Linked DNA regions of Lytechinus pictus. The protein of the gene in region 2 binds, or shares a complex with, the protein of the main gene of each other region. Links are inferred from orthologs where the notes say so. Each region holds a gene or a part of one and is shown on either strand. Other genes may lie near its edges. The genes, in order: small nuclear ribonucleoprotein-associated protein B'-like, serine/arginine repetitive matrix protein 1-like and small nuclear ribonucleoprotein E-like.

Region 1 (3,756 bases), on a different chromosome or scaffold from region 2:
AAAACCTAGATTATGCAGGCCCCAAATCCAGTTTATTTCTGTTTTCTCTTTTGAAGCATATTATAGCAGGAGAAAATCACATAAATATATGCTGCAAAATTAGAACAATGCATAAAAGGGGGAAACAAATGAAAATAATTTTCAAAAAGTATATTACAAAAAGAAAACAAAAATAATAAAAGAAATAAGTGAAATAAAACAAAAGAAAGAAAATGAAGAAAGAAAAAACAAAGAACAGGGAAAAAAAGAAAAGAAAAAATTTAGAGAGAAAAAAAAAAAGTGAAAGAAAAATGAATAAAACAAACTTAATTTAAACATGGGGAAAAGGGGAAAATTAAGAAGCCATTACGAATATTTTTTAACAGCTGTGGCAACAGTCTATTCTGACTGGAATATAATTAAAAGCCAAGCAAATAATGTTCACTTACCTTCTGGGAATGGCACATTTCTATTTTTATATCCTTTAGTTTATTTTTTTTTCAGTAGAAACATATTTTTTAATCAGGCATATTCAATGGGAAGGGGTATAAATGGTTTAACCACTGTAAAAAAAATGATAGAAAAAAAAATAAGAAGAAAACAGCAAAAGTTATATCTGGAAAAAAAGTGTGAGAAAAGTCCTTCCCTATATTTGCCAAAATGTTGGAAAAATTCACATTTCATATCAATGAAATGCCTTCCCAAAGTATTTACTTTCTCAAGAGTGGTTTAAGAAGTCATTTATAAACAAGAAAGAAAGAAACTGTCTGTTTATTTTTGGCTAGAAAAGACACAGCTTCGAAAGAAACCAAGTATCAACATACATACAAATGCACATGTGGGACTGTGATGTACTTGCCTATGTGTTTTTATGTGTTTTAATTCATTTGGAAATCGGTCTTTTGTAGTCAAAAGAGAGGTCATAATTCCTCTTCTTAATGCTTGCAAATAATCAGGGTACACCAAATTTTCGTAATATAGACTGTAGAATGTCATTTCATTGGTGTAAAATGTGACTTTGACTCAGATTTTCAAAGTTCTGTGGAAGATTTCTTAGCAGCAACATTTTTTATCGGAGCTCCATCTAGAGCACAGCTGTATGCAGTGGCTTCATGCAAAGCTCACGCCAGCCGGCGTGGCTGGCTGGATAATAGCTACTGTATGCTATAGCTGTAGGCCTAATATGCAAACTTTGTGTGTGTGTATTTGTGTGTAGATCAACAAAAAGGGCGCATGACGAATTGGGTTGCAATTTGAACTGTAGAAAGTTGATAAATGCGTGCAAAATCGGGAGAAAAGTTGCGCTTCTTTGAAAATTATTGGTTGTCCGATTCGGGCCACCAAAACTTAACATTTTATCAATAATGGTTGCCCGAGGTGAATTTCTGGTGGCCCCAGGCCACCGCTAATGTCGAGCCTTGCATATATGGACAGGGATTCAAGACTCCACGATGAAGAAATATATGTCAAAATATTAAAAAAAACATCATCATCATGATCATGGAGTCCTCAAGACTACATGTAAGTAGATCCTAAGTAAATAAATTCTGTTTACCATATTCTTCCAATTGTTTTTTATGACATTACTACAATTCAACATTCATACCACAGAAAACATAGATCCTACATGAATTATATTTGATTCAATGATTGTATTTTTGTTTTGGATCAAATGACTGAATAAAATGAACTGAATTGAATATAAATTAAAAAAAATAAAAAGTGTGGATATTTGGGCACTTTACTCTACAAGTTACAACCATTCCCGATCGCGATATTCAGAAACGCAGGGGCATATTGACCTCAAAATGTGACTGAATTTACTTGCCATGACAATTTTGCAAGCAATTTCTGACTCGAAGTCGGCCAGTGTGAAATTGCATTGGCGCCGTAACATCACAAAATTTGTGAAGAATTAGATCAAGTGCAAAGTTCAGTTTCAGATTGTTTTATAATTCTTTACAACACATACAATTTTGAAATTTAGTCCAACAGTTTTTTTTTCAAGCTCCCGAGGCTGAGCTCCACAACTCAAAAGCCAAAACTGGATTAAAATACAATACAATGAATTAATACAAGTTACAAGAATCAAGATCAGAAGATACCAAAATTCTTTCTAACAGTAACATTAACAAAGTTAACGTGGAGCTCTGCGTTCCGTATCTGGCTTGAATTGGCCAAGTAAGGTAAGGAATGCAGAGCTCTACGATTTAGAGCCATATTAAGTTGAAAAACAACAACAGCTAATTTGTTTTCAACGACTTCACAAGTCTCTATGAAAGCCGAATCAATGCCATTTTTAGTTTCAAAGAGAAAACCGAAACATACACAGATATGTACATGTGGGACACCGTTTTCGAATACACACATCCCCGCAATAAGTCACAAATTGTGAGCTTCATTAGATAAATTAAAATAAATCGTAATACATTTCATCGCATATATGTATATTATTCATATAAATATATAGTTACCATTTTGAAAGATTGTTATAGCCCCGATGTAGAAGGATATTGACTGCTTTCGTCGACCGTCACAAACATTCGCGAAACGACACGCTCAGCTAGCTGGCTCGAGCAGCGCGAGCATATATGCAAATATATGACGCCAAACAGCACGCGCGGCGCAATACGGAAATTAAACCAATTACAGAGTCCGTCTCAGACCCCATCTTTGTCAAGTGGGAATTTACAGACGATTTGATTGGTCCTTAAGCACAACAAAGATGGCAGCGCCCATGGCCATACTTTTCTACGTTGTCGATGTCTTGCATTAGGACTCTATAGGAGACTATTTTATCAGTTCTAACTTCATCTCTTGAATTGAAAATGGATGAAGACGAATATGGAGATGTTGACTGGAACTATGACCAGGCTGTACGTATGCTTAGTAATTCTTTTTAGCATTGTCTCATTTGTCTGGGTTGGGCGCCAACTGCACTCCGTCTCCATACCAGCCGGCGGGCGCGCCGGGCCCGCGGACTTTGCCCGTGCCTGCGCCCGTTCTGCCTGGCTATGGCTATGCCTATGGCTATGCCGCTGTTCGGTAAACGCGGTAGCAGTGCCAGTGCTGAGGGTTACGATACCTCGTCCTCGGGCGAAGTTCGTGCAGGCTCCACTTCACTACCACTGACCACTACGCTACGAGCGTAGTGGAGCGGAGCCTGCATGAACTTCGCCCGAGGTAAGGTCGGATTACCAGTGGCAGTGCTGAACTTAGACAGCTGGCAGCCCTCTGTTTCGAGGAGTTTTCTGACACTTTTAAAATTATTTTTTTTAATTTCTCCTTATTATACACAAACGGCTTGCTATCCACTCTAGGCGACACCCCAATACTTACCCGTGCTAATAAACTGGGACTCCACTCACGCGCATTTGGGCCGCCCTAGCTTAGAACTAAGCTTTGTTTTACTAAAAAATAAATCTTGTAATGATTCAATAAATGTTACTTAATAAATTAGTACTGTTAAATCGGTACTCACCGGTTCTTTTCTTGAATTTTCTGGCAATTTCCCACGCTTCTGGCTTCAATTCTGCGGCTGTTCCTGTCGCGGTAGACAACTACATATGCAACTTTATTTATAAATAGAGCGCCCCTTACGATAGTTGTTAAGAACGCGGCCAAATTGTTAGGTTTTTTGCACTGTGTCCAAGGCGTTTTTATTTTGTTTGATTTTTTATTTTTAATAAATATTTTGTTAAATAGCGATTTTTACGTCAAATATTAAATTCATATCACAAAATATTTTTTATTGTAGAAATATATATAATATCATGC
Region 2 (3,756 bases):
TATGTAAATACTCCTTGTTTTGGCAAGAAAATACAAGAAGACTATAGCCATTCTGTGACGAAATGCTAAGACCAAATTCTGTGTAAAGCTCTATATTCATAAATGATTTTATTTCATTACAGATGGCCATACTGTTTTGCTGATATTGGACATACTATTAATGTACTCTACCGTCTCTTGCAGTCTGAGGGAATGAAACTAAATCCTGAAATAAAATCATCAAAATGTCAATAAAATTTAAATGTGAAAACATATAAAAGGGGGGAAACTTCCATTGAGTTATGAGCAAATCACACACAATTAATCATGAATCAGAATATTATATTTTCTTCAAAACAATTATTTTTCTTTCTTTTATTCGGTGGGGGGTCACAATTTCCAAATTTCTTAAATTTTATTGTCGTCACATAGATAATCTGATCAGCTCATAACGTATTAAGTATAGTAGCATGGTAAGAACTCAAAAATTGATGAAAACATTAAAGTTATGTATTACTTACTTGTCTCAATCGCCTGGTCCATGAAGTAAATGAATCTCTTTGTACATAATAGGTACATTATAAGATTCATCTAGCAACATTCTTAATTCTGATTTTTAATGGTCAGTGTGTTATAATAGCACAAAATCATAGAAAAATAACATACTACATACTAATACAAGACAAACTATTTTTTTTCTTCAGATTACCTTTTGTTGAATATTTCTCCAGTGGCATCTCATCATTACCTACCACTACAAACTGCATGTAAAAGGGAAAAGTTCATGTGACGGCTCATTTAACTGCCAACGGGCTAATTGACTTCGTCTTTTTTTTCATAGAGTAAATTTTGTGGGCCAGCATTAAACTAATTCATCATTTTGGTTGGCAAAATGATCTAAAATCATACTTGAGTAGGATTAAAACAAAGATACTCAATAAGAAGCACTAATATTTCCCGTTATCAGTGCAAAACATTGCATGACAATCGGGTCTTGCCAAAAGTGCTACATACATAGTAAATCTGTGTACATGTAGCTCAACTGCTCAAGAACTCAAAAGCCTTTACCTACCAATCAAGACTTCTATATATAATCTCCTCAAAAGGTTCTTGAATTCAAAACTGAATACTTACCTGTAATCAGCATCAGTTTTAAAAGCTTGTCCTGTCTAACAATAATTAACCATCACTATGTTGGAGGAGGGGGTCGGAGAGGATTCCACTGGACACTTCACGCAAGAAGTAGGTTCCTTTGCTGGGCCCGGTAACATAAAGCTTTATAGCAACTGATCACAGGGCTGCTGTCTACAATTGATAGCATTGAGTCTAGAGTCTGGTGAGTCAGTAAATTAAATCAGCTCCACGTCCAATCGCTTTGCTTTATGTTATGTTTCCTGGGGGTGTTTCACAAAGATTTAAGTATGACTTAGAGTCGCCCTTAAACACCCAGTTGCGTACGGTATGAAAGGCTTGACCGCATTGGTCAGATCGTGTCATTAGGAAGCGCACTACTGTGTATCTATCAAAAAGATCGCCCGTTGCATATCATGTACGCGTCGGCATTTAAGTGCGACTTAAGTCATACTTAAATCTTTGTGAAACACCCACCTGGATGTGCATTATTCCTCCTACCTGAATAAGATCCCATTTGCTCTGCCTCGTCTTTTTTTGCTTACCTATTATTAGCTACCTTAGGCCATGCAGTCGCACATTATTAAAGATACCACAAACATCACTACTCTTTTGTTGTGAACAGCATACTTAAATGTAGTTCAACTTAAAATAAAAATGTGTCTTATCGAAAAGCATAGAAAGCAATCTATAAATACCTGCACAAGATGACCTATACCAATGACAAAACCTAATGAGTTCTCACCATGGCTACTATACACTTGACCTATGAAATAATGACCACAAAATATTGACCAGTACAATGATTAAAACATCAATCAATTTAACCTTAACACAGAGTTGACTATATACAATCTAGACAAAGAAAAGGCGACATCTTACTTCTTCTTCCAATTGGTTAAAGATGAACTCAATGAGGACATCATCTTCCACTCCAAGCATCTCGGTGACTTTCGTTGTAATCCATGGTTTTAGTGTATCCAAGTTGACCTTACTCATGCTCACCTAGAGAAAATTGAACAACAGAATTGATGAAATAAAGGGAATAGGGACAGCCCATTGCAAATGGTCGGAGTCAGAGATCAAGTGATTGGCAAACACCTCTCAAACAACCAGTCTTTTCATTTTCCCGTCACTACTACTAGATACTTGATATTTTATAAGTTTACATTTCTAAAGATTACAAGTCTTGGTTGGAATGAATTCCCAAATCTGGTTCATAGAGACAGCAGGATGAACAGAGCAATAACTGTATACTTTGCGGATGGGGGTGTTGCAAGAAAATATTTGCGGTCAATTGCAAATATTCTGTTGCAATTTTACAACTGATAGATCAACGTTAGCTGTAGCAAATCGGATTAAACTACTTGTTTCAAGGAGTAGATTAGCAATCAATCACTAATTTGCAATTAACTACAAGCCAAGTAATTGATGTAGCGTCAAAAATAGACTTACAATTGATCGCAGGTTTCTTGCAACACCCCATAGACACACCAAGCCAAGAGGTGGCTTCTTCCCAGTTGCATAAAATCTTGCCTCTTTATAACCCCCCCAGCTTAATACATGTAGGTGAATAATACTTCAGAACATACCTTCCTCTCCATAATAGGGTTGAACTTGAGCGATCTCAACAGCTTCTTTTTCTTATTTGTGAAGCGATTGTCTTGGTCGGCACTGGTGCCCTGTAAGAAATTGGAGAATGTAGAGAAAAATAAGGTTACTTGTGTACCAGACATCATGAACTGATTCTCAATGTTAAACTGATAACCAATGTCAACCGGCACTTTTACTGATTTAGAGCTCACCTACACCGAGCCCCACCAGAAGCCATGTGGAGCAAAGAACTGATAATACCTTGGATGTAAGCGTTAAAGTGAAAAAAAACCATATATGCCGCTCGTTGACTTCTCATGAAGTATCCCGAACACAATTTTAATGGTGCTGTACAGCAGGGCGCAACTTGCGCCGGTTCGACGGTCCCCGACCGGTAAATATCGCTGTCGGGCCAGTAGATTTTCAGAAATAGCAAGATGTACTGGTCCGACATGACCAGTAAAAAAATATCATTGCCGGGCCAGTAATTTTTCCAAAATAGCAAGATTTATGAGTCCGACATGACCAGTAATAAAAACCATTGTTGGACCAGTAACTTTTTCCAGAAATGGTCAAATTCACTGGTCCAACATTAACATAAAAAAATATTCCATGACTCAAATTGCAAACCATTTTCCTCCCGTTAATTTCTGTCATTCACACACAGAATACACACAAAATGAATCGCATGTAAGTGTTAATATGTTACCATACAGTGTACATGTAGCCAGCCACACAACCCACATGGTAAATTCTCTACTGGCTGCACATACGAAGCTTGGCTAACCTCTGGCAGAAATCTCTCACAGGACTGTCAAAATTCACAGTTCACACTCATGAAAGGCTCTTATTTATATAATGTCCATATTTCCTAAAAATTGGGGTAACTCTGTCATTTGTAAGCAGTAAAAGGAGAAATTTTCACTTCTGTTTTAGTTCAAACAGATCGGGTTTCGAGTGATATCGTCTGAATACATGATAGCCCACATGCATTTGTGTGTGTGTTGATACACTTGGTTTCTGACTTTCTCTCGTAGCTATATTTTAATTGAG
Region 3 (3,756 bases), on a different chromosome or scaffold from region 2:
TTCTTTGGTTTCTCCTCTCTCTCCTTCTCTTTCCCCCCTAAACGACATCACATAGTCCAGCAGAACTGACCAATCACCAAACAGAGACTGAAGCTATCAGGAGTTCAGGGGCCGATTGCACGAAAGGGTCTTTCCAAGGACCGTCTTTCCTGTCGCCCAATTTTTATGATGCGCCATGTGAAACGCATTTCAAATAAATTATCTGCAAACATATTTTACTCATCCGTTAAAATAAACAAAATGTTAGTTTATGAAATGATGTGATATCTCATGAAATTGTATAAAATTTTATTTAAAAGCAAGCTTACGAATTGTATTGTTTATCATAAATTTCAGAAACACTCCGCTTATAGCGCATCATAAAAGATGGGCGACACGAAAGACGGTCCTTGGAAAGACCCTTTCGTGCAATCGGCCCCAGGACCATTCATTTGAAATTTTGTTGCTCACCGGAGAGATATGAGATTGGGACATGTACATTGGCATCAGTCTCCAGACTAGTTTAACATTTTATTTTCGCTCTCCCAACTCCAAACATATGCCTCCCTCCATATTTTTCCAATTTTGAGACTCCACAGTGGCAAATTGTGTAGAACGGATAGCGATGCGTTCAACGCTAGCGGGCGTGTACATTTTGCTTATTACATGACGTCATCTAGCCACTGCCGATAGCCAATTTATGAATGAAAATATAGTAAGCATGCGCAGTGCAAGCCTTCCATTGCCCCACACAGTATTCCACCAAAACAAGTGTGCAATTCTCTATCACCTCGTACAAAAATCGACCTAGAATTTCCCTTTCCTATATTTTATATGAATTATGAAAGGTATTCTCGGAGGATCTATTTTTCTCACCGATACCGCACAGGTAAGCGAATTTCGATTACTTCTTGCTTTTCCGTCAAAATCTTACGAATTAGCGTCGCAGGGGTGTGAGTGGTCACAAATAAAAAGATCTGAAAAAAGCTGAAGTGTTGAAAAAGTCTGAAATAGAAAGAGCTCCCATACTTTTTGTACAGAGGAAGGCCAAAAATAAGCTGAAATTAAGCTGGAAATCAAAACAAAAATATCTGAAATCAGATTAAAATCTGAACTCTCACACCCCTGGCGTCGATATGGCATTGTGTTCGTTGGAGTTTGTAGAGTCTATCGCAACGTGCACAAAGTCAATTGATTTCCGGGTTTCGGAGCGTCGCGTGAATTTGCATGAAATTGCCGTGTCTCGATAATTTTCAATCGATACTGGAGCGATCCGATCGCAAACCAAGACCAATTCCCGCGTAAACAATGTGACCGGATATCGTTATCGCTATCGATACTTTCGCACGCAGTCCGAGGGAATTATTTTGGCGACCACGTAGTCATGACGTGATCTGCGCGATTGACCAATCAGCGGTCTCCGATTCGCTGAGCCGAGACGGTCTATCCGTTGTAAAGTCTATGGACGATTTACCACTGTGGACTCACAGTTACATGCTACATTTTTTGTAACAAAAAAATGAATTGTAAAATTAAATAAATGTATTCCATAAATAATTGAATGAATTGACTTATCAACGTCTCTTGACAAGCACAAGGATGGAAGGCCGACACAAAGAAAGAGAAAGGGAATTTAATGAGGAATTATCAGACATCGATCATGTCGACAGAAACAAATTTTTTTAACAATGTAACTTAGTGGAACTTACAAAGTCGAAGCAAACCAGTCACGTCACTCACCAAAATGTCCTTTCCCCATTTTTAATCTCAACCCCCATTAATAAATTTGTTGGCCAGGCCAAGTTACTAAAATACTGATCAATGTTGGGGGGCTGTGTAAAAAGGAAAGGAAAATCTGTTTTGTATATTTTAGTCTTATTATCAAGTTAGTCCGACCTCTGACTCTGAGACTGAGTCCGACTTTTGTTTTCCGCTACACAGCGCACAGCAGATGCAACCACAATTTAACTTCAGTCCCACACGTTAGTGTAAGTGTGAGCAGTTTCATATTCAACAGAAAACAAACACACATTAAGATACATTATAACGAGAAAAGGAGCATGTATTAGTTCTTTAAAAGGATACAATCGGTTGGACCATCACTTTCTGGACCTTCTGCCCTTTATACGCCATTTTCACAGCTTAGATCTGATCGATGAAATAAGAACAAACAATGCAGAATCGTTCCCGCTTCGTGGAGATCGCGTTCACATGTGTTTTGTCAAAAGCTATTACTAAACTGTCCCTCGCTAGAGCGCTAGAGGGCGACATATATGTTTTTCAGTCCTGACTGAAAAAGATAAAATGAGTTCAACTGAGATTTTCTTATATCCCTCATCCTTTCCTTCTCTACCCCATATCCTTCTCCTCCATCTTCTTCTTAATCCAATTTTGCTCCTCCTTCTTCTTCTTATATTGGCAAAAGTTTTAGGAAAATCCATCAAAGAATAAATAAGTCATTAGAATTCAAATTATTTGATTTGTGACATCATATGCGAGCAGCTTTCCTACATATTGTATGGTAAAAAATCAATGAAATTTCATTTTCTCTGAAAATTGAAAATGGTTTTTATGACAAATTATATATCTTCAGTATGTATTTAATAAACACATGATTTCCCACCCACTCCTAAAAAAGAAAAGAAAAAGTCATTACGAACCATTAAAATGTGAAATTTAAAGGAGAATGAAACCCTTGAAACCAGCTGAATCCATATAAAAGAGAAAAATCAAAGAAACATATTGTTGAAAGTTTGAGGAAGATTGAATGAATAATAAGAAAGTTATGAGCATTTGAATATTGAGATCATTAATGCCATGTAGATCCTCCCATTGGCAATGCGACCAAGATCTGTGATGTCACACACGTACAACTCCCTCATTACTTTAGTACTTACTTATATTCTCACTTTTATAGAGTCTATCACAAGGTGAGGTGTTCTCTTTATGAGAGGACAAGTACAGAGGTTTCACAACATTATATCATTGATGAATCGTTTGTCATATGATTAGAATGAGCAAAAAGAGATGTTTTGGGGTATATTTTCAGTGTCCAAAACTGGACAACTCTCCCCTTTTGGACACTGAAAATGTACCCCAAAACATCTCTTTTTGCTCATTCTAATCATATGACAAACGATTCATCAATGATATAATGTTGTGAAACCTCTGTACTTGTCCTCTCATAAAGAGAACACCTCACCTTGTGATAGACTCTATAAAAGTGAGAATATAAGTGAAATAAGTACTAAAGTAATGAGGGAGTTGTACGTGTGTGACATCACAGATCTTGGTTGCATTGCCAATGGGAGGATCTACATGACATTAGTGATCTCAATTTTCAAATGCTCATAACTTTCTTATTATTCATTCAATCTTCCTCAAACTTTCAACAATATGTTTCTTTGATTTTTCTCTTTGATATGGATTCAGCTGGTTTCAAGGGTTTCATTCTCCTTTAAGCATTTATATTACATAACATATGGGCTGCTGCTCGTTTATGACGTCAAAAATCAAAAACTTGAAATTCTAATAACTTCTTCACCAATATCTTTTTATTATTTTTCCTTCTATTTTTACAACAAACTTTTCGTCAGGGTGAACTTCCCCTTTGCTTTAATGAGTCTGAAATGTAACAATATATGTCTGATTCAGAAGACTGCGAACAATTGCTGCGAAGCACTGTGCATAGTTTTCCACATCAGGGCCCCGTCTTACAAAGAGTTACGATTGATCGAATCAATCTCAACTATATGGAAATCCACTGTCATAATTTTT

What was found.
Region 1: serine/arginine repetitive matrix protein 1-like (region 2) and small nuclear ribonucleoprotein-associated protein B'-like share a complex: the UniProt entries of both Homo sapiens proteins name them as parts of the minor spliceosome. The link is inferred for Lytechinus pictus from reciprocal best matches to the Homo sapiens genes SRRM1 and SNRPB.
Region 3: serine/arginine repetitive matrix protein 1-like (region 2) and small nuclear ribonucleoprotein E-like share a complex: the UniProt entries of both Homo sapiens proteins name them as parts of the minor spliceosome. The link is inferred for Lytechinus pictus from reciprocal best matches to the Homo sapiens genes SRRM1 and SNRPE.

The regions. Positions count from the first base shown.
Region 1 is NC_087246.1:62,260,923-62,264,678, reverse strand, and holds the start of small nuclear ribonucleoprotein-associated protein B'-like, read right to left. Parts: upstream 2,561-3,756; 5' UTR 2,457-2,560; coding exon 2,454-2,456; intron 1-2,453. Other genes in the region: negative elongation factor D-like, read left to right, coding at 2,808-2,855. UniProt on the Homo sapiens protein: Plays a role in pre-mRNA splicing as a core component of the spliceosomal U1, U2, U4 and U5 small nuclear ribonucleoproteins (snRNPs), the building blocks of the spliceosome.
Region 2 is NC_087248.1:16,740,715-16,744,470, forward strand, and holds the start of serine/arginine repetitive matrix protein 1-like, read right to left. Parts: upstream 2,862-3,756; 5' UTR 2,850-2,861; coding exon 2,703-2,849; intron 2,116-2,702; coding exon 1,993-2,115; intron 206-1,992; exon of another isoform or gene 156-205; intron 1-155. UniProt on the Homo sapiens protein: Part of pre- and post-splicing multiprotein mRNP complexes. As a component of the minor spliceosome, involved in the splicing of U12-type introns in pre-mRNAs. Involved in numerous pre-mRNA processing events.
Region 3 is NC_087263.1:5,426,983-5,430,738, reverse strand, and holds the start of small nuclear ribonucleoprotein E-like, read right to left. Parts: upstream 2,228-3,756; 5' UTR 2,113-2,227; coding exon 2,065-2,112; intron 1-2,064. UniProt on the Homo sapiens protein: Plays a role in pre-mRNA splicing as a core component of the spliceosomal U1, U2, U4 and U5 small nuclear ribonucleoproteins (snRNPs), the building blocks of the spliceosome.